Drosophila melanogaster: one gene and its partners. The gene in region 3 interacts genetically with the main gene of each other region. Each region holds a gene or a part of one and is shown on either strand. Other genes may lie near its edges.

The links.
Region 1: of mi (region 3) and l(2)dtl, changing one suppresses a phenotype caused by changing the other (phenotypic suppression), as found in Drosophila melanogaster (one study listed by BioGRID).
Region 2: of mi (region 3) and Cul4, changing one suppresses a phenotype caused by changing the other (phenotypic suppression), as found in Drosophila melanogaster (one study listed by BioGRID).
Region 4: of mi (region 3) and CG5199, changing one suppresses a phenotype caused by changing the other (phenotypic suppression), as found in Drosophila melanogaster (one study listed by BioGRID).

The regions. Positions count from the first base shown.
Region 1 is NT_033778.4:23,699,650-23,706,852, forward strand, and holds l(2)dtl (lethal-(2)-denticleless), read left to right. Parts: upstream 1-2,827; 5' UTR 2,828-2,985; coding exon 2,986-3,028; intron 3,029-3,302; coding exon 3,303-5,569; 3' UTR 5,570-5,754; downstream 5,755-7,203. Other genes in the region: sigmar (salivary glands marred), read right to left, coding at 316-591, 649-941, 1,152-1,215; Alg3 (ALG3, alpha-1,3- mannosyltransferase), read right to left, coding at 5,882-7,128. UniProt on the Drosophila melanogaster protein: Substrate-specific adapter of a DCX (DDB1-CUL4-X-box) E3 ubiquitin-protein ligase complex required for cell cycle control. The DCX(DTL) complex, also named CRL4(CDT2) complex, mediates the polyubiquitination and subsequent degradation of E2f during S phase.
Region 2 is NT_033778.4:8,100,310-8,108,785, forward strand, and holds Cul4 (cullin 4), read right to left. Parts: upstream 6,010-8,476; 5' UTR 5,708-6,009; intron 5,631-5,707; 5' UTR 5,541-5,630; coding exon 5,216-5,540; intron 5,149-5,215; coding exon 4,904-5,148; intron 4,843-4,903; coding exon 4,382-4,842; intron 4,331-4,381; coding exon 4,144-4,330; intron 4,046-4,143; coding exon 3,853-4,045; intron 3,795-3,852; coding exon 3,658-3,794; intron 3,604-3,657; coding exon 3,214-3,603; intron 3,153-3,213; coding exon 2,874-3,152; intron 2,814-2,873; coding exon 2,661-2,813; intron 2,598-2,660; coding exon 2,502-2,597; 3' UTR 2,299-2,501; exon of another isoform or gene 2,236-2,298; 3' UTR 1,951-2,235; downstream 1-1,950. Other genes in the region: Tmem63 (transmembrane protein 63), read left to right, coding at 1-166, 225-1,595; udd (under-developed), read left to right, coding at 6,147-6,626.
Region 3 is NT_033778.4:23,521,372-23,529,845, reverse strand, and holds mi (minus), read right to left. Parts: upstream 5,991-8,474; 5' UTR 5,710-5,990; intron 5,613-5,709; 5' UTR 5,497-5,612; coding exon 5,434-5,496; intron 5,377-5,433; coding exon 4,325-5,376; intron 4,263-4,324; coding exon 4,128-4,262; intron 4,068-4,127; coding exon 3,933-4,067; intron 3,870-3,932; coding exon 3,808-3,869; intron 3,751-3,807; coding exon 3,137-3,750; intron 3,033-3,136; coding exon 2,872-3,032; intron 2,812-2,871; coding exon 2,208-2,811; 3' UTR 1,594-2,207; downstream 1-1,593. Other genes in the region: RabX1, read left to right, coding at 6,576-6,618, 7,654-7,787.
Region 4 is NT_037436.4:20,448,863-20,455,462, reverse strand, and holds CG5199 (uncharacterized protein), read left to right. Parts: upstream 1-2,598; 5' UTR 2,599-2,790; intron 2,791-2,863; 5' UTR 2,864-2,887; coding exon 2,888-3,588; intron 3,589-4,205; coding exon 4,206-4,653; 3' UTR 4,654-4,931; downstream 4,932-6,600. Other genes in the region: atk (artichoke), read left to right, coding at 1-690; CG5910 (uncharacterized protein), read right to left, coding at 5,067-5,197, 5,828-5,953.

The DNA of each region.
Region 1 (7,203 bases), 180 kb from region 3:
TAATCAATACGGACGTCTTTACACTTTTGATATTGTTGTCAATGTTATATCACTAGTTGAACTAAATTAAACTTCTCCTTAAACCCATGTCTTTTTTCCATTCTTTCCCAGCTCTGCTTCATCTCTGCCGCTGCTGGCCCATATTTATACCTAGATTTTGTATTTTGGTGGTGATGGTGGTGGTGGTGGTGTTGGTGGGTGAGCTTTAAGCAAGCGTTTTCCATTCGCAACTAGCTACTGGCTGCTTTTTGGTTTCGATATATAGCCTTTCGTTCATAGCACGCAATTGCAGCTCAGCTCGCTTTGCGAATCTCCTCAGATATCTCCCGTTTCCATGGCTGCGTTTATGTCCGCCACAATCTTTCCCATCACCTCGCGGTAGGGGGAATCTGGTCGGAAAGCCGTCTCCAGCAGCGCCTCCTCGCCGAAGAAATCGAACACCTCGTCGATGCGGCCCAGCGACTTTTCTGTGAGATGCGGCTGCACAATCGACTTCAGCGCCACTTGCGATTCGGCTATTGACTTTTGCAGGTACGGCAGGTCGAACGTGAAGTCCACTTCGTAGAATGATATGATGGACAGCTGCGTGTTCTGCAACAAAAAAAAATCATAATAACATGTAGTTAAGGAGTAGCATTTAAGACTCACTTGAAACTTTCTCTTAAAGAGCTCCGCCTTCTGCAGCTCCTCGTCGCTGAACTGATTGTTCCGGTGGAGCACACCGATCTTGATCACAATCTTGATGATGTTCTTGATCAGCTTCTCCGCCTTGGCCTTGTTCCCCGTGTGCATCTTGCAGAGCCTGTAGAGGTTGTCCAGCAGCGACGCCGTCGTGCCATCGATGAAGGTCTTGGCGATGTTTTTTGTGGCCATGCGTGAGAGGATCTTCTTCTGCGCCCGCAGCCCGATATCGTGCGACTTGAAGACATTGTCCGCCATGACTAAAGCGGATGGGAGGGGTGGGATTGGAATTCAGATTCAGACATTATTATCGCTGCATATTCATTGACTAAAGCATTGTGGCAAAGAAATACGAGCAGTACGAGCAAACAAAACGGAGCAACAACTCAGCAACCAAGGAAAACTTAAAACTGAACACTGAATGGTGGCAACTGAAAAGCAAATCAGCTCCGCTCTTCTCCGCGGTTTACCTTCCAAGTTCCAGTAGTCGACGCTCCACAGCAGCAGACATTGTCGAAGCCCGGCCACCGACATCGCGACTATATATCACACATATATTACACCGATTCCAGTTGCAAGCATTGATAAGGGAATTATAGACAGAGATATAAAAACATGAATGATTGGGCCATGTACATCAGCGCCGTATCTTTAGATAAAGGAAACCTGGTTCTTTCTTCGCTGTGCTTCTGTGTTTCTTTGTGCTTTACGTGAAGTGGGCAATAAAACAGTCTGTGTGGCCTACGTTTAACTACAATGAGTCACTCAAATGCAATTACTTTTACCTATAGTGCTGGGAACTGAAACATTGGAGGAGAGTCCTGTAGGACTGAAGTCTGTTTAGACTAATAAATGGAATCAACTAACATAAGTCACATTTCTATTTAAAGAACAAAACAAAACGATTAATGTACGCACAACTTTATTTGTAACGAATAATTTCTTATCGAGTGTTCGTCACAAGCTTTTAACAAACAAAACAGGAATCTAACGATAATAAGACATTCTGGGGAATTCGAATTGGGTTATCATCGTAAACACAACATAAAACGAATAAATTTGATATAAGGAATTTAATGTACAGTCAAAGTTAGAGCTCCGCTGCTCCACAACTTTGCTGCTTTCCACACACAGATATAGGAATGCTGCCGTATTAATAATGGATGACCAACTGCGCCCCTCTGACCGTATCTATAAGGTCGTTCTAACGGCGCGGCGTACGTGCTGGAGCCCGAAATGGAAATGCGGCAGTGCTTCCAACTGTCCAAACAAGGAGTCCCGATCAGAGCTAGTTGGGTGACGGAGTGCTGGGGGGAGGAAACCGCTGGCGGGTCAACAGAGTTCAGACACACATAGGTATTAACTAGAAGTCGTGACTAAGCCTAATCTGGAGCAGGGCATCCCTGGTTGCTAATTTAACTAAGTGAATGCCAGTTCCAGTTAGATAACGCCCGGCAATAGAACCGTGTCAGGACACGGACTGCTCCAAATGGCTAAGGTCACGCGAAGTGCAATAAAAGAAGGCCTATCCCTTCAAAGGAACGGAGTGTGGGTCCCCCAAGGACGCCAGTGGAGTGCGGAAGTGCGCTACAGCCGAAACCACAGAGTACTTGAGTTCGTTGGGCCATTCTTCTCCTGGCTTTCCTGTTTGTCCTGCATTTGCGTGTTCCGTTTTCGCAGCAGGAGGGTTTCTTTACCTTCTGGGTGTTATTGATTGCAACAGGCTGTGTGTGATGCCCGCCCCCTTGAAACCAGAATAGAAATCCAATTTGGCGCTCACCTGTTTTTGTTTTTGTTGTTGCTGCAGTCCTTGAATCGAATCCTTGAGTCCTTGAGTCCAAGTATGTGTGTGTATGGGTGTAATGTGTGCTTGATGACCAGTGTCCGCAAATCGAAGTGCTAGCGAAAGCAACTGAAAGGGGTTGGCTGCATTAAAGCCCGCGAACTGCGTACAATTTGCAGCTAAATTTATGCGCAACTTCGATTAAACATAAAACAACTCAGCGAACAGCAACAAAAACAAAATATCAGCCTGTGAGACCAGCTGCTTGTAGCAACCAAATGTTAGACTGAAACGAATCAATCTTCCGTGGCTAGTATTATTTTCACTTTTGGCGGTTCTCCAGTCTTTCGCAACAGAATGCGTTTACTTCCCATCTGAGCACGGTCACACTGCCCAAGAGTCCAGCTGCGTCGTTGAAAAATATTTTCGATGCCTCGAAGGTTGATTTATTTCAGAGGAAATAGCAGGAAATAAAGTTGAAAACGCAGATTACGAGCAGCAGCCGCCAAGAGGAGTGCACAATGAACATTTACAACAAGTTGCGGGCCAGGGAGCATGGCTACGGTGAGTCTTTCGCTTGGCGGGAGAATCTCACTTTTGGCGCTCGAATTTCCTGCGATCAAAGGTGTTGATTTTTAAAAGGTTTCAATGGGTTTTCCTGGCCATCTGGTCAATGTGCATCCTGCACGGCCACCTGACCACAGAGCATTGCCTAAGGGGTGAAGAAACCCGACTAGTTGCTCCACTGGAAACTGCTGATCGTGCAGAAGTTCCGTGGAAAACAAAGCCACGGCACTATTTTCATGGTTTCTCCTCTGGTTTTCGTTTTTCTTTTTAGGCAATGAGAGGACCTACGACTTCGCCCTGCGCCGCCTTTCCGTGGCCAAGGAGGACAGCTGGCGGGGCATCGCGCCGGCCAACTACTGCCCAGACTTCAATCCGGAACCGCCGATCTTCTCCGCCAAGTTCGCCAACTGCGATGGCTATCGGCACATCCTGGCGATCGCCAACGAGGACGGCAAGATCACGCTGCAGGACACCACCCAGCGCAACCACCAGCCGGAGGAGCAGTCCCTGGTGGGCCCGCAGTGCCACTTCAACGCCGTTTTCGATCTGGAATGGGCACCCGGCCAGATGCGCTTCGTCTCCGCCTCGGGCGATCACACTGCCAGACTGTGGGAGGTGGCGGGCTCCGGCATACGCGGCCTGAACTCCTATGTGGGTCACACAAGGTCCGTCAAGTCGGCGGCCTTTAAGCGCACCGATCCCGCTGTCTTCGCCACCGGCGGCCGTGATGGCGCCATTCTCATCTGGGACATCAGGGCCAATCTCAATATGGACCTCACGTCACGCGTGGACAACTGCATCTACAGCGGTCACACGGGCGGACCGGGCACGCCAGTCTCACAGCGCAAGCAGCGCACACGCACTCCCAAGATGGCCGGAGGAACCACCTCGAGCAGCATCACTGGCTTGGCCTTCCAGGACAACGATACGTTGATCTCCTGTGGTGCCGGTGACGGAGTCATCAAGGTGTGGGACCTGCGGCGCAACTACACAGCCTACAAAAAGGAGCCACTGCCCAGGCACAAGCTGCCATATGCCGGCAGCTCCACCTTCCGTGGATTCACCAACCTCATTGTGGACGCGTCAGGCACGAGGCTGTATGCCAACTGCATGGACAACACCATCTATTGCTACAATCTGGCCTCCTACTCGCAGCGCCCGCTGGCGTGCTACAAGGGACTCCTTAACTCCACGTTCTACATCAAATCCTGCCTCAGCCCGGACGGCAAGTATCTGCTGAGCGGAAGCAGCGACGAGCGGGCTTACATCTGGAACCTGGACCACGCCGAGGAGCCGCTCGTTGCACTGGCCGGACACACGGTGGAGGTAACCTGCGTGGCCTGGGGCTCCAGCCACGATTGCCCCATTGTCACGTGCAGCGATGATGCGCGTCACAAAATCTGGCGGATTGGACCCGACCTGGATGGCCTCAGCGAGGCGGAGCGGGCGGAAAAGTACCGAGGAACTGCCTCCTACGTCAGGGAGTTCGGCAAGAAGGCATTTGGTCCGTCTAGTGGAAATCACAAGTACAATCTTCGAGATCTGGAGTCCACGCCAAGATCTCTGAAGCGCCTTATGGATCAAAATGAAAGGACGCCAGGTTCCGTGGAAAAGACGACGACCAAGCGTTCGTTCCTGGAAATGCTGGGCGTAGCTGGCCAGGAGACGGAAGCCACAGAACAGCCCCAGAAACGGGCGAAGCCACTGGAGTCACGTGGAAGGCGGCTCTTTGGACCTTCTAGCCAGGAAACTGCTTGCAGGCACATACAACTTCAGTCCATAAACGAGGAAGATGCCTCGCCGAGCAAGAGACAAAAGGAGAACTCTGCCGCGGAGGATGTCTCACCACTGCACAAGCTTCTCAGCACACCAAGTCATTCCCCTTTGAGTGAGAATGTCAACCATGTGTACACCTCCCCGCCAACCACGTCAGCGGCAGCAGCAGCGGTGGCTGCAGACGCGCTTAATCCGCCGCCGATCTCCGCTGCCATCTACTCGCCCACCTCCAACCTGCCCAATTACGTGCTGGATGGCGAGGCACCGCACCTGGGCATCATGTCGCCCAAGCGGAAGGCGAAGGAGAAGGTGGACTGGCTGACGAATATCCGCAAACAGAAGCTGATGAGTGGCAGGGCCCATGTGACGCTCAGCGAAAAGATCAGCGAGGAGCAGCAGGCCGATGTGCTGGCATCCCCGCGCCTCCAGAGTCTGCGGCAGTCAGAGTGCAGTCCCAGGATACACGCCTCGCCCCGCAGACGCATCTCCCATACGGACGGAGGCGGTGGCACGCCGGCTGGCAGCTCCTCGCACTCCCATTCCCAATCCCAGCCAAAAACGCCCACTTCCAGTAGGCGAAACAGCGAGACGACGCTCCTGCGATTCTTTAGCATTCAGAGAAGTAGCAGTGTGCCGGCGGAGGAAACAACGACAACGAATGCGGCTCCCTCCTCTTCTGATCCCCATCCCCCGGCAGTGACTGCGCCCGCAGCCACGCCCCTCAGCATGCGCACGCCCACGACGGCGGTGGGCAGCGATTGACGCGGAGCCTCGAGCCACAGCACCATTATTGCACTTGTAGTTTTAAGCGGACATTGTTTAAGTTATTTTATGTAGATAGTAGGTTGCATCTATCGCGGGACGAGTTGGTAACCAACTCCCCGCCCTCTGTACAGAGCCAAAAGATACGAAAGACTAACGTACCCGAATAAAAGTAACTCCATTTTAAAGCTGCCTTGATTGATTCTCTAAAAACTAACTCGTTTAATGTACTGTTTATTCAATTTTTTTTTTGGCATAATCAAAACGGTTTATATGTGGCACTCATGGCTAACAAGTGGCACTCAGACCATTTTACTGCAGCTTTTTCTGTTGCTCCTGCTGCTCCCTCTTGGCCGCATTATTAATCCGCATGGTCTGGACAAGCTGCTTGGCCACCCCAGCGAGCAGTATGATGTGGGTGAAGTGAAGGGCAGCGCTGGAGAAGTTCGTACTGGGATAGGTGTTCCAGCAGTACTCAATCAGTCCGAGGATCAGGCAGCGCACGCCCAGCGAGTACGGCGTCGACCAGGCCAAATAGGGTAGCGAGTGGAAGTACCAGACGTAGAACTGATAGTGCAAGGATCGGGAGCAGGCCACGCCCACCAGGTTGCACAGGAAGAACGGCAGCAGGGCCAGCTGGGTGCAGCGATCGAAGTGGATGCCATAGCGTTCCGGTTCCGCCTGTGCGGGTGCCGGAGTGGCCTTTCCTCCAGACGCCTTCTGCAGGCTCTTCTCGAAGGCCTTCAGGAAGGATTGCTGCTCGGTTGTAAACTTCTTCTGGTCCTTGTCCTTGTCCTTTTCCACTTTCTTTGGTCTTTTCTGCGCGTTCAGCTCGAGGTTCTGCTGGGCTATTTGCGGCTGCAGCTGATCCTCAATACGGCGCAGGCGCACGTAGCTCTGGAAAAAGGTCCAAGTGGGCTTGGCGAAGGCCAGCAGGAGCAGCAGATGCAGGCCCAAAAGCGAAACGTGGAAGGTGCGGTTCTCGAACAGATCTCTGCTCAGGAAGCGATAGTTGACCGTCCACTTGTGCTCGAAGATGCGTCCCAAATCAAAGCTGCCCCGCAGATACTCCACAGGATGGGTGAGCAGGAAAGGAGCGCCCAGCAGCAGTTGTATCACTCCGCAGACAGCCAGCTGCAGGATCGTCCGCAGAAGTCCCAGGTTGGCCAAGTAGAACAGCAAGAGCGCAGGCGCAAACAGCAGGATGTTCATCTTAACGCCCACCGCCAAGCTGAAGAAGGTGCTACCCAGGGTCCACCTTCTGTCCAGGAACAAATTGAGTGCGGCATAGAGGAGCAGCACTGCCACCGGATCGTTGAACAGTCGCAGCACGTATATCGAGTGGATCCGATACGACGTGAAGGCACTGAGCACTAGCACATACGGCGGCACCTTTCTGCTCTTCGAGTACAGCCTCAGCACCAGGGCCAGCTGGAGCAGGTAGATCCCGGCGAAGATGTACTGCGCCAGGCGAACGTTCGTTCCGTGGGACGTGACGTAGTAGAGAGCCGAGTAGATGTACACGAAGGCGGCTGGATACACAAGAGGTCCTGTGTCGCCTAGGAAATCGAAAATCGAAGAATTTCAATTATCATAAATTAGATAGAAGGAATGCAATTAGTCATTGTTTTCAT
Region 2 (8,476 bases), about 15 Mb from region 3:
GACTGTGGTACGGAACTATATGCAGGAGCTCTTTCCGGACGTCACCATCGAGAATGTGTCAATTGCGTACAACATTTCACGACTATACGTAAGGAACGCCGAGTTCGAGCGAGTTCATGAAGCACGATTGTACTGCGAGCACCATAGGAACAGGGATACTCTCATGGTAAGTTCATTCACTTCAACATTGATGTAAAGAATCCGTTTCACACCGTCTATTATAGGTTAAACCAGAAATGTGTTCCTGCAAAAAGGAGAACGCCTACGAATATTATCAGCGAGAGGAGCGCAAGTTGTCCGGCGATGTTGCCCGTCTGCGTGCTTCCACCATGAATGAGCCCCTGGACATTGCGTTTATCACCGTGTCCACTGTGCAGGAGGCCCAGAACATAGTAACGCACTTTACACCGGGCACCTACCGCCAATGGCACTTGGTGTTCGCTCCGTCGCCTGATGATCTTTTTTGGGAGAACCTAAATGTGAATAAGAGTCATTGGTACTTGAAATTCTTCTGTGTGAATGCAGTGCTTTTTCTTGTTCTCTTCTTCCTGTCCACACCGGCCATGGTGGTAAGCCTTCTAAACAGTCGACCATGGGTAAAGGAAACAGAGGGTAAGATCTCGCCCCTCGTTGCCGACTTCCTGCCCACATTGATGCTCTGGACTCTTTCGGCTCTAATGCCTGTGATTGTTGCCATTTCGGACAAGTGGATGCGGCACTACACGCGCTCCAAGCAGAACTACTCAATCATGACGAAGTGCTTTGGCTATCTGCTTATGATGATCATGATTCTGCCTTCCCTCGGACTGACATCGGCACAGGCGCTGCTAGAGTGGGGATTCTTAAATCAGACTGATCGCTGGCAGTGCATTTTCCTGCCGGATCGCGGCTCCTTCTATGTGAACTACATCATTACGGCTGCGTTTATCGGTACAGCGTTGGAGCTGCTACGCTTCCCGGAGCTGATTGTATATATCTGGTCATTGCTAAAGGCGAAATCCAAGGCCGAAACGCCGTACATTCGTAAGGCTATTCTAATCGAGTTTCCTTTCGGAACGCACTACGCCTGGACAACGCTCGTTTTCACCATAGCCATTGTGTATAGCGTTGCCTGTCCGCTGATTATGCCGTTCGCCATGATCTACATCTGCCTAAAACACTTCGTGGATCGCCACAACCTCTACTTTGCCTACGGTCCGTCAAACATGATATCACGCAAGGGTGGTAAGATCCACTCCACTGCAGTTACGATGACAAAGTTCTCGGTCGTGATCCTGGTACTGGTCATGGCCATGATTTGTTTCTTCCGTGGCGATAACGGAATGGCTCGATTCCTGCTGCTTATCATCAGCCTGGCTATCACATTGACTTTGTTCACCTTTATGTCACCAATTAAGCGGTGTGCGGCCACGCGCCGCCCAAGCATTGTGGAAATTGCCGGTCCGGCACCCATCTACGTGCCCGATGTGCTGAAAGATAATGGGATAAGGACCAGCAGTGTGCGACCTTCGGCGGCAGCATTTGGGGGCTACGGCTCCGACAGCGTGTCCGAGTACGACAGCTCACAATACAGCGTCAACAGTGTTGAGGCGTAAATGGTATTATTGTCGGGAGACACTACAAATATTTTTGTAATATATCTACAAAAGCCACTAAGAACTTTTCAAGTTGGCAGCTTTGATTTGCATACGAAAGAATGACAGGAGGATAACAGCAAGGCAATTTGTGATACCTAAACCAGCCTCAATGTCATTTTTAATATGACCCCTGCACGCGAAAGCGATAGCAATATTTATTTCTGATCTGTATATAATCTACCTAATTTCCCAATTTTATCTGTAACTGTATATATACTATATTCCTTTGCTAACTGCTTAACAAAGGGCTCGACGCTGATTTTTTGAAGCAGTAATGCTGGTAATATTTTACAAATGAAACACGAAGTGCATTATATTTTCAAGTAATTTTTTATTTATGGTAAATAAAAAACTATTAAGTTATGCGTATCTCTTTTTTGCATACAGAGCTACTAGTACGAGTTATAATTATTTTAATGTTTCCTTTAGAAAATTAGCCTGCAAATGTCACTTCTATTGTTAATTGAAGGAGAATTATCAATTAAAAGTAAACAAATTAGAATAAGTCCAATAAATAAGTTTATTGAACACCTAGTTTGCTTTCGGTTCGAAAACTTTTTTAAATTGCTGGAGGCATCGACGTTCCGAGGGCGATGACCTATTTCAAAGGACTCGGCTTGTAAAATAAACGCTTAATTTATTGTATGATAAGGTAACTTACAAAAAGAACTGTCGCTACACTATTAGCTGGCGGATTGTTCAACGATTTAGTTATAGAAACGAAATTACAGCTGAAAAACTCTGAACATCGCCGATCGGACGAGGGCACTCCAAAAACTTCATTAGACTGCTAGTATGTATGTGTATGGTATAGAGCGAATTACAATCGAATCGGTGTTCGGATTTCACAGAATCTGTGGCCATTTATGCCACATAGTTGTATTGGTTTTGATTATCCTTGTCTCGCTCCATGTAGTCGCGGTCGATGAGCGACTCGATTCGCTTCTTTAGGTCAGCGGGCTGGAATACCAACGAACATATTAGCTTCTTTCTACTTAGAACAAATAGGATTAGTATACGGACCTTGACAGGGAAGGTAAGCTGGTTGAACAGCTCGGTGATGAGAAGATTATGGCTCAGCGTTTTTCGCATTTTCATAATGCGCACAATAGCCGCATCAATTTGATACTGACGATCCTGAAACACACGCTCCTCCGTCGCCTTTTGCTCCTCATTCTAATGGAAAAGGGGAAAGATTAAGTGTGTGCAAATTACATCAAAACTAAAGCCACTTACTGTCTCCTTCATCTGTATTTGGTTGATCTTGATTCTAAACAATTTGTTTGTGAACTCATTGTTAAAATCAAACTGATCGCCATCCAAGATTTCGCGGCCTTTCGGTGTTTTTGTTATGACGCGGGCGCGCCCACAAGCCAGGGACTGAAGTGTTCGACGCAACTCTCCATCCTCGATGAGGGTGGCGGCCAATATCTCCTCGTAGCTCAGAACTGGCTTATCGTTAAACAATAGAAGCACAAGCGCTTGAAACAGCGAGACCAACAATTCTTTCGGTCCCTGTGAAACATACGTAAACATTGCAATCGCATAGAACATAGTAGGAGCCATTAGTAGTTACCGCATCGAATTGAGCACGCAGCATACAATTTCCTAATGTAGGCTGCCACTGCAACTTCCGCCCACTATGCTTTTCCAGATAAAATTTGTTGAAAATCTGCTGAGGATTGATGAACTGTGGCGGCATTGTGACCTCTGTAGGTGCATATGTAGGCCAGTAGCCCATGGTAAGAATGCTGACGCACAAGTCCAAGTTGTGGACATCGCGGTTGTTGCTTAACGCGTGTCCGCGGAACGCAATGTTGATATCTCGGCTCAGTTCCATGTCCTTAAACATGCCCTCCAGCTTGGACGTAAACCCTCCACCGCACTCCTGCTTAAGCTTGGAGAGCATACTCTTTTCGGAATCCACTGATGCCGATTTGCCCACAAGTAATCGTTTGGCCAAGTCCTAAGATGGTATTCGTTATTAAATAATGCTCGACATACAATAGATGGACACAACCTTTTTGTAAAACGCTTCAAATACATCTTTGCCATGTATAAAACGAAACAGAACCATGATTTTATCTAGAGTCTTTTCCAACTCCTCATCTGTGGTTCCCTTGTTGCCAGATCGCAGTTTCATATCTACGTATTTAGCTAATGGAAGAATAAACTTTAGCAAACTCGTTTAAATATAGTGACAGTGGGCGCTTACCAATAAGCTCGGCCGGCTTGTTGGCACGTTGGTTGATAAAGAACTCAAAGGCCTCGCGCAACGAGTTTGTGAATTTCTCATTGTGCTCAAAGCAGGTGCGAACTATCACATCCATTTTGTCCTTGAAATCGAGCAAATCTTGGACCATGCTCTTATCCTTCTCGGGATCGATGACAATGGTGCGTCCCTTTTTCTGAAAGTAAGTATATTAGCGCGATCTATTAATATGTTTTACTGCAGTTAAAACAAAGGTATCTTTAAATAAATTTATACTACTTAACATATCCATACCTTAATGAAACCGTTGAAATTGCCGCACAGCTCGGATGTTCCATTTTTGACTCGACTAAGCAGCCCGTACAACAGTGTAAGGTCACTCAGTCTGTTGTCTTCCAACAATGAATCCAAGCCCTTCTGCAATATTGACGTTAGGTGTTCGGCAAGTAACTCTTTTTCCACATTGTAAATCAGTGGATGTCTGTAAAAAACGCATTAATAATTGTTTTTATTATTGACTTCGCCAGCATACTTGGTGCTCGAGTCCAGATAGTGACGCAAACGCTCGTTCTCCTCGGCCAAACGCTTGTTGACGTGTTGTAAGTACTCGGGAACTTCCAGTTCTTGCATCTTGCGTTGACTCTCAGCCTTATACAATTGATTGGTTGCGTCGAGGAACTTCTCCTCAAAGGAGCTGGTGTAGATCTGCAGGTCGCATAACATGCGAACCAAGCTCTTCAGCAAACCACGGTCCACGGTGGAGCCTTGTCGTTCTTTTTCAATAAGCGTTAGTAAACCGTCGACGGTTCGCTTTTGGACAACGCTGTTTTGAGCAAAATGGATGCGAAAAAGGTCCAGCCCCATGTCCCAAATCGAGTGAACGGTCGAATTTTGCAGCACATAAGTTCGATCCATATACAAGAATATGCTGCGAATCATGATCATTTGTTGGCAGAACGAGAGCCACCAGTGGTTGATCTTTTCCAGCAAAATCTAAAAGACAATAAAAGTTGACGAGTAAACCTTTAAATGTGCTCCTTAAACAGCAACTTACCAGTTTGTCCATGCTACCGCCGGTGAGCTCCTTGAGCTTAATATTGCGCTTTACGTGTTGCTCTGTTAGCTCCTTGAGTTTCGCGTATAATTGTGCATCCATCTTGTGGCTACACATGTTCACCACCGCCTGGTAGAGCTCCTCCAGCGAATATTTAATGGGCTTGGAGAGTTGGATGGCGATAACGGCTTCTTCAAGCTTCACGTACGTGTCCTTGGAATAGTTATCGGGCAGTGTAGGCTTATCTAAGGAAGGAAGGAAGGAAGTTGAATCATGCAGTATACAAACAGTTGAGATCTAGACGGGACCTACCCTTAAAGTTCTTAATCACTATCTTCTTGACATCGCCAGGCTTGCTGTTGTGAATAGCCCCCATGCGATTGAGGAGATTTGAGGTAGTTGAAGCCGTGCGGATCTCGCCATGGCTGCCGCCTAGCTTGGAGAAGTTTGGCAGGCGCTCGCCGTTGGTGGACGCAGAATTCATGTTTTGGGCAGCGAAGGCACTGCGGCCCACGCTCGAGGCGGCAGCAGCGGTGGGGGCGACGTTCTCGGCCTTCTTCAGGCAGGCGGCAATATTCTCTGTGTTCTCGTGCAGCTCAGTTGTGTCCATGGGCTTGTACTTCTTGGCCGCACTCATAGCTTAGGGCCCCTGCTGCCAGCAGGATCTCCACTCCGCTCCTGCTCTCCTGATCCTGCCCTGCTTTCGTCGCACCGGCTTTGCTTAGTCCTGGGCGTGGAGATCGGTTATTGATTGCTGGCTTTTCCTTTAAGGGAAGGGATTGCAGTTTGTATTTCGATACGTACCCTTGAAATGATTACCAGCAAATATTCGTAATATTTTTGCGACTTTTGCACTGGGGTCGTCAAGAAATTGGCAACTTGCGAACTCAAGGCAAATAGACTTCCTGTGAATTTTCCGGCTGCGAAGTAGATTTCTCCGACAAACGGCGTCCTTTTGGACAAATGGGGTTCCTTCGACGCCTGAGAGACTATTCAAATCGACAAAACTTCGGAAGTACAATTACACAGGCAACATTTTATTATTTCGCTTTTGGTTGCATGCGGAAAATATTGCTTTTTGGGATATCGGACGAATCAAAACATCGATTGGCTGCGGGTAATCGATAGCTCAGCGGGCAGCACTGCCTATCGATATTGGTGTGAAACAGGTTAACATTGCCTATCACTGTTAGCACGACGCATTGTGTTCGCGACGCATTTATGTTCGCTTTCGCCATATAAAATGAAAACAAAAGATGAGAAGCCATCGCCTTTGAAAACTGCACCGCGTAAAATAAAGGGTGAGAATTTTCCAGCCAGAAGGATACCCGCAAATGTTTTGAAACGCACGCTTGAGATCGCCACCAGTCCCGAAGATGGCTTTTGGGTGAACCAAAACCCATCCTGTGCTCCTCCGGCCAGTAACGAGTTTTACTTCAGCGTTCGACGATCCACTGCGTACGAGAAACTACGACTGGCCCGGGATTGCCTTATGCAGCGGGACTACAAGAACTTGGCAAAAATACTGGCCTCCAATCATATGGGAGAAACGCTGCTCCAAAGGGCGTCCTTTCAAATATTCACGGAATACTCCAAGGTTCTTCAAAAGTGCCCAAAGTTCTACACGAAAATGGAGCAGTTGCGAGTGGAGCCGACTCCTCCGACGAGACCCACAGATGAAGACATAGCATTAGACGATTCATTAAATGCTATTCTATCCTAGTTACCTTTTTTAATAACGACGAAGTTAGGCAAGAAATATAATATAACTACCTCATAAAAAAACGCATATTAAATTGCCTATTAAAACTGCGTCCATCCCACTAATATATAGTGACGTATTTGGGTGGTCCAAACCAGCCACTTCCATTATTTCAAAGAAATCAGTAATGCACTCTAGTAATTTTCCATAACGTATCCCAGCTGCGCAGCATTCGTTTATCTTTGGCAGCGCAGCCGTTCTTGTAAACATCCTAAAGCCTGACCTAAGCAGATTTGACTGCCCTCTTTCAACGCTACCTAATCTTAAGAACCCAAGAGCGAGGCTCTCCCGAAATACAAATATTGTTCAAATACTGAGGCTTCTCCTCAATCCAATTTGCATTTGATTTTTAGTCTTAAGCTGAGATCCAAAGAATAAAGTCGTGAAACTATTTCTCCTAAAAACTATTTTTTATTTCTTGGCGTTGTCCTTAGTCAACTGACGGGACATTAGTTCGACTCATAAATAAAACAACAATTTTACTGGCGCAGTCGGTAGGATACAAAAGTATCCGAAAAAAAAAGAACCTTCGAGTGGAAAATAAGTTAAATTTTATAGTCCAGTGCTCGAAACATCTCCCAAAATAAATTCGTGAAAACTCTTCAACTTGGATTATAATTCCAATTCGGTTATCCAATAATAAGTGGAAGTGAAATACGAAACAAAAATATTAAGTCCAAAGGCAACTAAGTTTTAAAACCAACATATAAAAATAAAAAATTAAAACAATATAGAATTTTAATAATACAACACAAAAATTTACAAAACAAAAAAAAACAAACAAGTGAAACTAGAAAGCTTAAAAATAATAATAACATTGAATCCGAAACAAAACAAAAAAATAAAACACAAAAGTTAAAAATTTTACAATAAAAATGTCACAACCAATTATTGCGCTGAGCGACATAAACCTTGCCGAAGCCCGTCGGCAGCTTAAAGACATTATGCCATTCAAGGGTGATCCAGAAACCCTTCACACCTTTATCAGCAGAGTGGATTACGTAATTTCGCTCTACCAAACAAATGATGTCCGACAACAGAGGATTCTACTGGGAGCCATCGAAAGGAACTTGGACGGACAAATTACACGATCTTTGGGACTTCCGAACATCGAAGATTGGCCTACCCTTAAAGCAAGACTCATCGCGGAATTTAAAATTCAAACACCAAACTACAAACTTCTGGAGAACTTCAGGGAGACACCATACAGAGGAAGCCTAAGAGCATTCTGCGAAGAAGCGGAGAGACGACGTCAATTACTAATTTCGAAACTACACCTGGAAGGTAACCAATCGGATTTTCTTATTTATATTCAGGGTATTAAAGAATCTATTAAGATACTGATAAGGAAACTACCAATACAATTATTCACTATTTTAGCCCATCACGATATTACAGACTTAAGATCCTTAATTACCATTGCACAAAATGAGGGAATTTATGAAGAACACATTAATTTTGAATTTTATGAAAAACCAGAATATCGTAATAAAAATTCAAATTCTAACCAGAATTCGAAAACACAAAAATTCAATACAAATGTTCAAACTCAAAATCGACCAAGTTACTCACAATATTCCCAACCCTTCCAACCTAATTTTAATCAATACATTCAACCATTTAGACCTAGCTATACACAGCAGATAACTAACAACCCACCCATGTGGCACGCACCTAATTATTTCAGACCCAACCAATACATAAACCCACAACCCATTATTCAAAAAAATCATTTCCAACAATATCCCAACAAAGCCCAATTTCCCCAAACAACGCATTTTAGAGGAAATACATACCCTCGACTACAACAA
Region 3 (8,474 bases):
CGCTGCTGGCGTACCCGGCAGCGCAGCTACGCGGATTAGCCTAAGTCCAAATATATAAAAAACTGTAAAATCAGAGAGACTCGGTAGACGTTGAGCTGACAGAACCATTTCTGCCTACTCTAAAATCAAAAGAAGAAATTGAATAAATATATGTCAGCCCGACGGCTGCCTTCAACTTAAAACGGACTTGTGTTCTTAATTGGAGTTCATCATTACAAGGGACGCACCGAGCAGGCAGCCAAGTTCTTTACAGAGTGAGTGGGCTCCTTCCTTTCGAGATTCCTTCTCCATTCTACATCCTGATCATTTTAGCCTGGGCTACGAACTCCCGCTGAACTGCAATCCTGCGGACTTCTACCTGAAGACCCTGGCGGACAAGGAGGGCAAAGAGAACGCGGGGGCTGTGCTCCGGGCGAAGTACGAGCACGAGACGGATGGACTCTACAGCGGGAGCTGGCTGCTGGCGCGGAGCTACAGCGGGGATTACCTGAAGCACGTCCAGAACTTGTAACTCCTTAAAGTGATTAATTTGAGGAATAAAAACTGACTCTTCAAAACTTCTCTTATGTTTCAGCAAGAAAATAAGGTGGATATATCAGGTGTACCTCCTGATGGTGCGCTTCATGACCGAGGATGTGCGGAATATTAGGAGTGGGCTCATCGCCTTTGGCTTCTTCATGGTAAGTTCTCAAACGCTGTGCCAAATTTAGGTAGTATTGTAATCCCTAATTGCAGATCACCGCTGTAACACTATCCCTCATGTACTCCGGCATTGGAGGACTCACGCAACGGACGGTGCAGGACGTCGGTGGATCCATCTTCATGCTCAGCAACGAGGTGCGTGCATTTCTCTCCTCTCCACCTTCAGTCACTTATCTAGTTCTCCCAGATGATCTTCACGTTCAGCTATGGCGTGACGTATATATTTCCCGCCGCCCTTCCCATCATCAGGCGGGAGGTGGGCGAGGGCACCTACAGCCTGTCCGCCTACTACGTGGCCCTGGTGCTCTCCTTCGTGCCCGTGGCCTTCTTCAAGGGCTACGTCTTCCTGTCGGTGATATATGCCTCCATATACTACACGCGCGGCTTCCTTTTGTACCTCAGCATGGGCTTCCTGATGAGCCTGTCCGCGGTGGCGGCTGTTGGCTATGGGGTCTTCCTCTCCAGCCTCTTCGAGTCGGATAAGATGGCCTCCGAGTGCGCGGCGCCCTTCGATCTGATCTTCCTTATCTTTGGCGGCACCTACATGAATGTGGACACAGTGCCTGGACTAAAGTACCTCTCGTTGTTCTTCTACTCCAACGAGGCGCTGATGTACAAGTTCTGGATCGACATCGATAATATCGGTGAGCTTACCTCCAAGTAGATAATCAGGATGCATGTTATCCAATAATATTTTATCCAGACTGCCCCGTCAACGAGGATCATCCGTGCATCAAGACCGGAGTGGAGGTGCTGCAGCAGGGATCCTATCGCACCGCCGACTACACCTATTGGCTGGACTGCTTCAGTCTGGTGGTGGTGGCCGTCATCTTTCACATCGTGTCCTTTGGGCTGGTTAGGCGATACATTCACCGCAGTGGTTACTATTGATTGGGGCGCTTTTATTATACTAATTTCAGTTTACACTGTTACAGAACTTGCTTCAGCTTAATTTCAGTTGCATTGAGTACTCGTGCGGTAGTTAAGTAAAATTTGTAATTTTTAAGCACAAAATGTTCTTAATACATCTAAACTTCAGTGGAAAATATTGCATTCATCAAATTTGAGTCGCATAAAATAAATCCCATATAGATCATGTATGTATGCCGTTACTAAAAGAAATTTAACTTGCATTTGAACTACATTTGAGCTCAAGGAAAAGTCGGGAGTCTTGCGAGTCGAAGAAGAGGCGATCTATAAGATCTATATCAGATTATTTTACTTATACCTATTATTATACGATTGTCTGTCATTATATATAAATGGTTTGAAAGGGTTTAAAGAGACCTGACAGTTGAATTAATAAATTAAGCTAAAACAAACAAAAAATAATGGAAACAAAAACGAGTTAATCTTTTTGCTTACAAGGCTAAAGAGCTAAAACTCATTTACACGTCGGGCAGCTCCTTGCCTCTGCTCCTAGAATTTCAAGGGATCGGAGAGGATTTATGGGCATCATATTATGATAATGACGTTTCAACAATTATCCTATTGGCCCTACTCTTCTAGCAGTCAAAGGAAATCTGTCTCTTGGCCTTGCCTCCGGAGTGGTTGCTGTTGCCCACGGGTGGCATTTGGAACTTGCGCGCAGAGCTGTTACTTCCGCCGCCTCCGAAGTAGGGACTGATGTTCTGCTGGTCCTTGCCGGTAAAGTTCTTTTGCGCCGAACGGCGAGCCTCGCAGTCCATGTTCTCGCGCAGCGCGAGTCCGCCTAGGTTACTCTTCGACGAGCTGTTCTGGAGCGAGGCATTGGGCCGGATGGGTTGGCGTTCCTTGCAGAAGAGATCCTCCGAGATGCGATCCACTATACTCGATTGCGTTTCGGAGCAGGCATTTGTGGGCAGGCTCATTTGACTCAGACCGAAGGAATCGATGGAGTTCTCGCTGCCGAAGATGTTGTGCAGGGATCGCGCCGAACCTGCTGCTGATCCTACGACCGATGTTTGCGAGAGAAGCAGTTTACGCTGGGCAAACTCCTCCGGACCGATGTAGCCCGAGAGGCGGGTGCTCGACAACCGCTTGGCCTCGCATTCCTGACTGCGCGCCTGCAGGTAAACGTCGTCCGCATTCTTCCCCGCAATCACGCTAAAGGCAAACTTCTTGGCCAGCCTGCGGAAGGTGGAAGTTCCAATAGTGCCTATACGAGTATTATATCCACCCCTTACTCACCTTAGCAGTGTTTCGCTGTTGCTGGACGAATGTCCCAGGTAGAATTCCTGGAAGATGCGCTTCACAATGCGCGTAAGGTCTGCCGCATGCTGACGGAATTGCTCGTGCTTCGGCGTAATTTTCTTCTCCTGCAGTGCCTGCGACACAGCCCAAAGGAGTTTCTGTGGCAATAAACGAGATTAGTTATGACGGTTAAGTGAACGAATCTTAGGGATAAACCATACACAAAAGGCATAATTTGATGTATAGATAAATAGAGGCTCACCTTTCGCTGGTTATCAGTCATACTGCTATTCGGTGTGGCGCTCATCTCCGAGTGCGCTCTGTGCAGTTTACTCGCCAGTGGCGTACCGCTTGCAAAAGATGCCGGGTTAACCAGGTTGCTACTGCTGCCGCTCAGGCCAAGACTGAGCCGCGTCTGCCCAGGGGTAGCAGCCGCGTGCTGCGCCAACTTTAGCTGAACACCCGCAGTGGAGGAACCAGCTCCAATGCAGAAACTCTGGCTCTTGATCTTTAGAGCGCGAGGAGTCAACCCACTGGGTCCACTGCTCTCGGCCCGGAAGAGCTTGCTGCTCTGGCTAGCCAAATCAGCTGAATCCTCGTCGTCATCGCAGGCGTTTCTTTTCCGCTTCAGGATCGACTCCAGCTGGTTACTGCTGCCCTGGTGATCCGGCGAAAAGAGAGCGCGCTTCGACCGCTCTACGCGGTTCGCAATCTCCGGCTTGAAGAGCGGTTTGGGCGGCATTAGCTGCTGTTGCTGCAGGGTTTTGGCCGGACTTTGGAATAAGGCACGCTTAGAGGTTTCTCTCGAAGGTCCTGGCTTGATGAGATCAGTGCGGTAGAGGCGCTTTCGGGCGGATGAAGATGGCGTCTTGCGAGCTGGTGCAAATGCATCATTAACAAAAGTACATTGGCTTATCTTATCAAATCACTCACCTTTTTTCTTGCTGCCCGGCGTCTTTCGCTTGGGCGTGGCCTTGCGTTTATTTCGCACTTTTCTGTAAGCCAAAATCATGGAAATTAGTATGTGTTTGGAGTTTTTAATCACAAAAGCTACCCACTTCTTATCTAGCATTATTTGTGGTCCAATTGAGCTGTTAAGCTTCTGTGAGTTGGTGGCTAGATTCGCAGATGAAAATATGGCACGTCGTTTGGCCAAATGACTGAGGCGATTGCCAGGCGATTGGGTTAACATTCTGTAAGGAGTTGGGTTCAGTGAGTTAAACGTTCACACGGCTGACTAATTTATTACTCACTTCATACGCATGTTTCTCTTCTTGGCGCTCGATGGCGATCTCACATAGGACGTCGCGGTTTCCACGCCCACATAGCGGTCCACCACGGACATGCTGAGGTATTCATTTTGTTCGGCAGCCTTGTTAAGATTGTAGCTGTGAATGGAAGCGGGTAATGAAAACACTGCAAGCACAAACGAATCCTTTAAAGAGCATACCTCAGTCCATGATGTCTTACTCCCAGCACATCCCGCCAGCCCATGTTTTGAGCCTCCGAGAGACTGTGAGATGGTCGAAACAGTGAGGTTGTTTCGCTAATGCCACTGTCCTCGATTCTGGGTGTAGATGGTGGGCTATCCTTGGAGAGAAAGTTTAGCACGTTTGATTTCATGCTAAGCACCATTTTGATGACGTCCACATCGGGTGCAGTCACCGAGGGCGGCGGACGAACTCCCTGTAGGCAGCGACGAATCCGCCGATACAGCTCCCGTTCTCTCCTGCAGTTCTCCAAGAAGTGCGACCGGGGGTCGTTGGCGTTCAGCTGGGTGCTCGAAAGGTCCATCGTCTGCTCATCCACAAAACTGGACTCCGTGGGAGCATTCAGCGAGGAGCGAGCTCGTGCGTCGCTGGTGCACTGCGACTCTTCCAACACTTCGGGCAGATCCTCCAGCCTGGTGGGCGGCTCTTTTTCCGGTTGCTCGTCGTTGTCAGCTTCATCGTCGCTGTCGGCAAAGAGATCAGGTGAGCGTTCGTTGTTGAACTTCTGCTGCGAGGTGTTGAGCGAGGTTTCTAGCACGTTTGACAGACGTGGATTCGTAGCATTGGAGGGCCCAGGCTTGTCCTGAATTTCGGGCTTTGCGGTCAGGCTCTTGATTTTGCCATCGAAGGAGAGGCTGCCCGTTGTCGTGGTGGCTGTCGTGGCCACTGACACGGCCATGTCCACGGCATTGCAGCTGTTCTCCTCGATGAGGGTGTCGTAGAACCGGGGAAAGACAATCTTGCCCGGCGAGGGACGTCGGACGGCAGGGGGCTCCACCTCCGGCAGCTTAAGGTTCTGCAGCTGGGAGCCATACAGACGCTTGTTCACCTGGCCATATGGGCTGTCTCCGAAGCCCAGGAACTGCGATTCCTGGCTGCCCGTCTTCGGATTGGGTGGCGTTGGGGTTTCCTTGATGGGCTGGCTGCTCAGTGCTTTCGGTTTCATCAGATACGGTAAGTTCATGTGATCCTCGTCAGATATGTGGCTCTCATTGTTTTCACTGAGCGAAGACTATAAAACACAAAGTTTCAGCAAGCTCGCAACCGCAAGGACACCAATTAGTCTTACCCCGCTTCCTGTAGAAGGCTCCGATTCGTAGCTGTTGTTTATCTTGTTTCCAATAGTGGCCATTCTTCGAATAAAAATAGATTTCTCGTTGTAGTTATAGCTTCTTCTATAGCCCGAAGTTATTTTAGGCACGCGGCATTTTGTACAGGCTGCTCCAGTTTGTGGAGCCTGACGAATGGCTAGATTGACGGGGCAGAGAAAAGTGAAAGTAAGCACGGGGAGTCACTGACGATTTTCTTATCTTAGCCGCATTAATCTTCTTGGCAGTGCATTTACCTTTTGGAAATGTGGCACTTTTCCCAGGTCGGGGAAAACTAAGTTACCCAAGCGAAAAACGCGCGTAGAAGTCTGACTTTTGCGGACATTTAACGCGCTCGAGTCGCACGCTGCACGCCTATCGCTAGTATCCAGTTGTGCCCGCGAGCTTGTAGCTCCTAATGCATGTTGTCTAGCTCCTTAAAATACCTTTAATTTGTTAATTTATCTATAAAACACTGTTGTTAAAATCGCCTGTATGAACATCTGCCTGCTTTTGGCGGTGGTACTAACGCGTCTGGGAAATGCAATTAGTGATGGGCGATAGTTTTGCTATCGGGTGGCATCTTCCAAGCGGTAATCGGGGTCGTGATTTTTCTAGTAGTCATATTCCTGATTGGAATCCTTGCTAACCAATCAAACTAACACATAAATATATTTTTTACGAATATATTTACTTGTGAAACAAAGTTATTTCCTTGCGAAATTCTACTCTGCAAGACCAGCTATCGCTGCCAGCAGCAACTATCGCACCTCGTGTCAGCCCTGGTAAACAGCTGTTCGCGCATAACATAACACAATAACAACAAGCCTTCAAATTTATTAAATCTTTTATCTTTACTGCTGACTGCGCGCTTTTAATCGCAGCGCCCGCTTTGAAAACCCCCACCGACTCCGATAAATTCAGTTGTGCCCAAGAAATCAGACGCAGCAGGCCGCCAAAGGGCCAATTACGCGCTTCCCAACCACTGGCTCTGCAAGCAACAACAACAACAGCAGCAACAACCACTGAGCCAACAACACATCATCTCATCCATTTTACAAAAAAAAAAAACGTCACTAAAGTCCACGGAAAGCGATGCGATTGAGCCGCTAATCTCGGCGAGATGCGCGGAATCGAGGGCAAAGTGCTTGTTCTGGGCTCGCGAGGTAAGCACACACGTTTCCACCCGTTTCCGATTTCAATGGCCATTCGGCGGACTCCATTCAGAAGTCTCAATGATCCGCATAATGACAGTAATTCCATCAATTGCCCAGTGATAAGATTAACAACCGGGGTGAGCCGATAAGCCGTAGCCTTGAACTCCACTGGCCCCAATTGGGAATCTGCAGGCTGCATGCTGCAATCTGGATTTAGGTAGATGCAGAAGAGAGTCTGGCAAAGACAGCGTGTCTGGTTGGGATTAGGCTGAACTAGCCGATGAATTTAACCACACACGATGTCATCACATCAAGATGACGTTGCCCTTGGGATTTGGATTTACGATAAGAAATCTGTGTTAATGGGCCAAATTTGATGGCTTCCGTAGTGCACAACTCCGAAACTTAAAATTGTTCATTTCTACATTTGTACTCCAAAAACATATCAAGGGGGAAGCCTCCACCGTCTACCCTCTTCTACACAACAAAGTGGACATTTTTTGCAGCGTAATCGGCTGACGAATTCGCAATGAGTATATGTATTTAAGTTTGGCCCAAGGTCAACTAAGGGGGCTTATATGCACAGCGGGTGCAGTATTTGCTCTGCTTTTTCGCCAAACAAAGGGACGCATTGATAAAAAAAAGGCGGTACTTTCCTCGGAATATACGTTCTTCCCATAATCGCCGGATGATTCAGTGCATGCACATACTGCAGCTCCACGCGGAGATTCCCCGTCTGATCAAACACAGAGGGGCTTCTCTGAGCCACAAAAAAGTGGGCGCCGAACAAAGAATCTCGTGGTCGGTAGGCGATTCCTTATCGCTGTTTACCACCTTTTGCGGGCTAGTGCGTCTCCAGTTTTTGTTTTGTTTATTCGGCTCAATTTGCGTGATTAATCAGCGGTCAATTAATGCGTGCGCCATTCCACGTTCACTGATAAGCTGCACGGCATTATGCTTGAAGCGAAATAGGGCTCACGGGTACACAGAAAGACAATGCTGTATCTCTCGATTAATTGCATAATTTGTGTTCTTGTCTTGCAGGTGTGGGCAAAACACGTTTGGTCATCCGCTACATAAAGAACACGCTGCACCGCAAGGAAAGCGAGGTACCCACGATAGCCGTGTCCTTCTTCACGTGCAACATCATCCTGGACGAGGTCAAAATTAAATTGCAAGTGCGTATACAGCAGCCAGAATATGTATCAGTGCGACCAACTCTTTTGGGGCGAACGCAAATGGAATTGCCTCGTAAAAAAGCCGAAGCCAAAGGCAAAGCCAAAGGAATTTGCCACTGCCCCACGCGCCCACTAATCCTATTTGCCGGCTGGGCTGCCGGAACGCTAATCTGGGTTTATTCTGCCACTGGCTGCGCCGCGGGTACTTCTCGTCCGCCGTCTCCGCCGCCCACTGTTTTGGTCACTTTATTTGTCCTTTTTTGTTTGCAATTTGTGCGTCCGCTGCACTTTGTGTTATTCTCTTTTTTGTTAGCTCGTTCCTTTTTTTTTATAGTTTATTGATAAGCTAAACGGGAGCGGCAGTAGTAGCAGGAGCAGCAGCAGCACCAGCTTCGCCCATTGCCAAAGGGTTACCACCCACTTGGCCCTGGCTGCCGTATTTACTCTTCGGTGATCCCGATTTTATGCGCAGCCATATAACAATGGCCACTACAATGGCCATACGTTTACTCTCAACGCCAAACTGTTTTTTCTCTAACATGGATGCACAGGCAGCTAGGTGGATAGGCTTTAAACTGAGAAAGTTTGAAACTTTTTAGTAGAATAGAATTCAAGCTCTTTAATCCAATCACATAGCGTTTCAGCAAAGCAATACTTTTTCTTGGACGAAGTGCTTGCTCAGAATGT
Region 4 (6,600 bases), on a different chromosome or scaffold from region 3:
ACAACCACCAGTACCACACAGGTTACTCCTGCTGAAAATAATGCCTCATCCAGCACTGAGCTGGATTCCCAGTACGATGACGAAGATCTGGAGGCGCAATCTGTGACCCTGCTTAGACCTCCTCCTCTCGTGCAAACGACCACGGCAGAGACGATTCTTTTGATTCCTCCGGCTGAAGAGCATGTGGCGCAGATAAAGAGTCGTTCCTGGGTGACCACCACAACACCTCAGAGTCCGAGTGATAATCAAGTAACTCTAGCTGGTCCAACGAGCACAGTACCACCACCGCCACCAGCTTCTCCTCCACTACGAGGTGGAGGACGGTCCACCATTACCAAGGTCTACACGCCGTATCAGCAGCAAGTGGCTCAGCCCACGGCAGAGGAGTATCAGAGAACCACGCCCAGTGGTGATAACGAGGGCGTGGCCAGCGAGCATCAACTCACGGCTAATGCACAAAAACGCACGGAACTGGAGCTCCTTCAGGTTGATCGTGTGGATCGCAAGGACGGAATGGATTGGTACTACGAAAGCTTTAAGAAGAAACGAGACTTCAACGGTGGAGCTGCTGTGCGGAAAACAGCCCACAAGGAGGTATTCTACGACGGAGTAGCTGCCTCGTCCAGCTGGAATCGATTGCACAAGGAGATTCTCTTTATCAGCTTGTTATTGTTGTGGAGAGCGTGTTGAACGGTTTTTAAAGCTATTTAATTTAGACAGTTGAAATATTTTATTTTGTACACATAAATAAAGAATTTATTTTATATATAAAGAAAAACTTTGTTAAAAGATTGCGATTTAGCACGTGGCTAGACTACCTGAAAAGTCAAAAAGAAAACCTTTATTAGTAATCTATATTTCATTCATCATAACTAAATATGCATATTTTTAATCAGATGGTGATGCATGTTAAAAAGATTTCAACATAGTTTTTCTGAGTTGGGTATGAAGTTGTCATCAAGAAGGCAGTTTAAATAAATAAATAATATTTTACATTGGCAATACCTTTTAGGTTTTTCCAACCGAATCAGTTGTAAATCTTGTGAAAGTATCATTAGTTTATATTTCCTGCAAAATAAAAGAGAGAATATAAATTATTAATTGGCCCTTATTGCCTTAAAATTTGATAAAATGTACTTGATTCAGATGGTGATGCATGTTAAAAGGATTTCAACATAATTTCTCTGATTTGAGTATGAAGTTGTCATCAATTAAGGAGTAAGAAAACATTTAATTTAGTGAGGATTTACCTTATCACTGGTTCAGTCAAATTTCAGTTTTGAATAGGAATCCCAATATCTGGAAATATTTCTGTAAAATACACAAAGACTGTTTAATTATACAAATACTATTATACATAAACTAAGTTTCAATATTTTATTCAGATGGTGATGCATGTTAAAAAGATTTCAACATTATTTCTCTGATTTGGGTATGAAGTTGTCATCAATTTGGGAATTAAAATAATTTGTACTCAAATGGTGCGGAGGATTACATTACCCTTTAAGGGAGATCAAGGCATGATTAGATTGTATCCCAGGCTCCCGGCTGTTTTCAATGCCTGTAAAAATACAAAAATATTACACTTGTAAATTTATAAAACATATTTTTTCCACAGTTTTTATAATTGGGAAACAGCAGATTTTCATTTCTTTGCCTATATATACGGAATAGTCAAGCACACTTAACTTGTGCACTAAGTAATTACGTGGAATGCTCTTCACATTTATAATGTATCACCATGTAATTTACCATAATTTAAAATCTTATTTAACCCAACTTTAACCAAATGCCAATTTTATATTGTTAATGACAAATGTGAATATGCAGTTATCTTTCCTTTAACCTAATTTTTTATCCATTTTGCAACATGATGTATGCATTGGGTAGAAAGTCATTATGGGTTGTTAAATAAGCTGAAACAATAGTATTTCTTGTAAACTTACCCCAGAATATTTCTAAGTGTCTCCAGGTATCTCACATTGCACCACGTGTAAATGGTGATCCATTCAAATTGCCGTTCTGGTGCGGTATGTGTATCATTTTATTACATTTATCATTGCATCAGTTTTTAAAGGAGACGAGCCCATACGGTCAGCTTTGCATGCGTTATATATTATAGCAATCGGTTTCATTTTATTTTAGTTTTAATTAGAAGCGCGCTGACGACCTTTACCAAACGAAATTCGGATAGAAAGAAGGCAGAAGGTTGCCGGATGTCCACTGAGTTGCCGGTGCTTTGGGGCTGCCAGACCTTTTGGTTGCATAAAGAAAAATATTTATATTAAACATAAATTAAACATAAATAAGCTTTTTTCTTGAAAATAATATAATAAATAATATGATATAAATAAAACAATACTATAAAATAATACTAAAATATTCACTTACTATTTAATTGAATACATAAGAAGGCTCATCTCTATAAGCAATCATGCACTGATAGGATAATTCTAATTTCTAACCTCAGTTAAAATAGTTGTGGAGCTAAAGTAAAACTATAGACTTTTAACTGCACATATACTAACTATTTAGACGGTATTAAATGCGTGTACCATATCGGTTAACAAGCGATACCATCGCAAAAGAACTCCCATCTCCAGAGCGCGCTGCCACCTTGAGCGAATTGGCGCAATTTAAACAAAAATAAGGGAAAAGTTACAGTTGCTGCCGCGGTAGAGACGCTAGAGGAGAAACTGCAAAAACTCCAAGTGTCAGGAAGATCCACCAGATCCGTCCACGTCGAGATTGTTTGGTCCGCTGCGAAGATATAGCGAAGCATCCAAGTGGGTACGTCAGGTGGAGGGTGGAGTGAAAATGTTTATACAAGCCTGATGCGTATGCGAATTGTATTTTTCAACAGTCCGCATCGCAATTTGGATTAGCAATGACGACCCCGCTGCAGACACGAATGGCACTGGCCGAGATTCCCGACCGCCTGGAGGCGCTGCGTATGGCCAACACACCGACGAACTCCAATCGCCGGACTCCGGATGAGCCGACTCCAGCGGCCATCATAAACACTCCGAATGCTAACGGAGGACTGGGACTGCGGGTGGACAACGATGTAAACGTGGTGCAGGCCCAGGACTTTGTCTTCTCTCCATTGCCCTCGCCAGATGAGCTGGTCATTCGGCAGCGTGGTCGCCGTCGCTTTACCACAACATATTCTCCAGATAAGGTCAACGGAGGTGGTGGCGCAGGAGGAGGTGCCAGCGGTGGTTCCTCAATGCGTAGTCCTTTCCAGCGCACGCCCACCAAGAACTTTCAACTAACAAGCGGCATGATCCTGCGCAGCTCCCCTCGCAAACGCCTGACCATGGGCAGCACTCCGCCAGAGCCCACACCAATGGATACCTACTCGCCCATCAAGATGGCCACCACCAAGCAACTTTGGCCGGGAACACCAGTTGTAAAGAAGCTAAAAATGGAGGATAGACCTGTGGGGCAGACGAACACAGATGCGACGCTACCATCCCTGTTGCAGGGTCTATCGCAGGAGCAACTAATCGATTTGATCATGAACAACATTAAAAGTGCCAGTGATGAGGGAGAAATACGAACGCAGCTGCCCACGCCAGACATAAGGTACGTTAACCCTACGTTACATTTGGTTTGGACAGTTGCTACCATAAAAAGTATATATATTCTATTTAACCATGTCCGTCCGAAGGTCCGTCCGTTTCTACACAATCTAGTCACTCAGTTTTAAAGCTATCTGCAAAAAACTTTAGCAAACTGTGATCTTAACGTGTTTAGGTATACAAAATCTATAAACAATCGTTAGACGGTATGATATATGAATCTGAAATAGAAACTGTCGGAAAATGAATTTAAATATAAAGGTGTCGTAGTTTTTTTTTATATGATTGTAAAGTGTTTTTATTCGGTTTACACCAGTTTCTTGACAACAATCAATTTGTTTCCCTAGAAACAATCAAAACAATTAATTGAAAATAATAGAATAGACTAGTTTTTGATAGTATAGTGTATTAAGATTCGGCTTCCGGAAGTTACGTACCTTAGTGCTGTCTATTCTCCTTTTAAAATGAATTTGTGAAAAAGGGTACATAGGTTATGTAAAGGTCAAAGCAACGAGACGCTTAATAATCTCTTCACAGATGGGTGGTGCGTTTTGAAAACCTAGAAAATAAAATCCAACAAGCAAACAAACATATACATAAATCGTTTTGTCTTGTTTTCAGCGCTTTGGAGCAGGATCTGCACCATGCTAAGCGGCTCATCTTCAAGTCCCTTCCCACCTCCCGGCTGTGCAAGAAAACCGATGCGGCGGCCTACTCCAAGGCGTCGATGCATCTAAACGAATTTAAGCGGGTGCTGCAATCGCAGGCCAAGCGCCTGCACGACTCCACTCACTGGGACGCACTAGTGGACTACGTATCCATGGCCTGGCAGTGCGTGGCTAGTACGCCCAACTGGGAGAGCCATGCCCACAATGCGGTTCGCCGGCAATGCTTCAAGCTGTTGGCGTGCTCCTGCTATGCGGCCATTAAGCACGGAGGAATGCGATTGGGTCAGCTGCGACTCGAGACACTGGAACGCAATTTGCGCGAATGGTCCAAGGACTATGAGGACGTGCTGTCCTGTGTGAACGCCCTGCAGCGTACGCTTAACAGCCGTAGCAGCTTGTAAACACTGTGGAGACTATAGACTTTTAAGGCCGACTTGCTGAACTTGAGGTTTAGTGGACCGAATTTAGTGTGTAAGGCGAAACTTAGCCAGTAAGCGTATGATATTTGGCGCAGCACGTGTTATAAAATATTTTTTAATATGTTCCTCGACATGTTGTCCTATTTAAAATGCACGCAAGGAGTTACTTCATTATTTAGTGATCTAAGCCACACGCTAACTAAAGTCTGTTAGCATTATAAACGTGTATTTATTAACGCTTAAATATATGCTTAGCAAGTAAGTTTGATTACCACTGGACATTTGTTGAACTAAGTACACTTATTTGAATGCTACTACGACTAGATCCTACTTCTCTATGACTGACTTCACGCTGTACAACAAGTTTTCTCACATCATGACTTCCCCTCGAAATCTTAGCTTTGCCAAAATATTCGTCTCCTTCTTCGGCAGGTGAGTATACTGAATGCAGAAAGCAGGTTCAATATTAGTAGCACTAACACATTTGGCACGTGCTGGCCACGAGAACTGCCGGAAATGTGACGCCCTGGAAGTAGAGAAAGAAAAGTGCAGATTAACTTGTGTGTTCCCTTGGCGGAGTAAAATGATATGCAACAGTAATATATTCACTGGAAAACGGTTGCTACTTGTTGATGCCGCTTTTCACATATTCATTTATGAGCGAGCTCCCATTTAAGGCAAAGTGTTATGTTTATTATGAGAATCTACTCGAAAATTTCTTGGTATAAACTACTCACAACGATAATATACAACCAAGGCTAATTGCCCTTTCGAATTTATAGCTCACCATATATCGATGTTGTACTATATGATTTAGAACGCGCTTTTGACGCCCAACAAAAAATTTGGTGTGAGCGATTTCAATTAGCATTATAAACTAAATATAATTAGCATGGTTCGATTTTCTGCCAGCGAATGATATTGACGAGATCTCTCTGGCATTTTTTTTTCTGGCTTGTGTATATTTATCGAAGGCGCCGTGTGGAAATTGAATATAATCGGGGAAGTATGTTTACGTTATTAAATTAGCATTGCTTTGTTAATCCCCCTTTCTCATGTGTGGAGTGGCATGGGCATTTAGCACGGATATATCAAGCTACCAGATGAGGTGATTCCACGAATGCCCTAGGGGTTGGCAGTTGTATCTAGTACTTACACTTCTTGATCCAGATCTCAGCACAGCAGCACTCCTTGACCTGGACGAATGTGAAGCAGGATTCCACGGATGATGTGTGCACCTTCTGATCCGCGAAGCACACGTGAGGCACATAGGGCAGGCCCTCTGAAAATAAGGGTACATTTCAAAATTAGTTTCTAATAATAAACATCCATCAGTTTTTCACTCACAAAACTAATATAGCCAATAAATGGTTGGAAAATCAGCACAATATTTAGAATATTCAATGTGTTGCCCCCGTTTCGGAATCAAGTGCCTAACTATTTATAATAAAAACCACGTAATTAAAATATACAATTTATGGAATTTTTCGCTTTGAGTAGAAACGGAAATCAATAAAATAGAATATGTTTATTAGTAGCTGCGCGCACGAAAAGGCTGCAATAATTTTCAAGAAAATATAAATTGCGGCGAGTGACTAAATATGAGCGGCATTGTTTTTCGATCGGATCATAGCATGTGTTTGTATTATTTTCCGTTTGGCCTGTTTATAGTTGCTCATTTGTTTATAAAACTCAACGTGTTGAATTTTATGAAGTTCGATGTGTATATTTTCAGGAACATCGTCGAATAGAAGAAGAAAAGCCCACACAGAGAATAGCCAGTTGTTGTTGTTGTTGCTGGTGCGTGTCGCAGATATTTATGCAATTATAAAATTATTACCTAATGTAAACAGACACGGACAGCGTGTAATATGTTGGGTCAATTCAGTGACTGCCGCCCTGGCAATTGTTAATAATCTTTAGCGACCG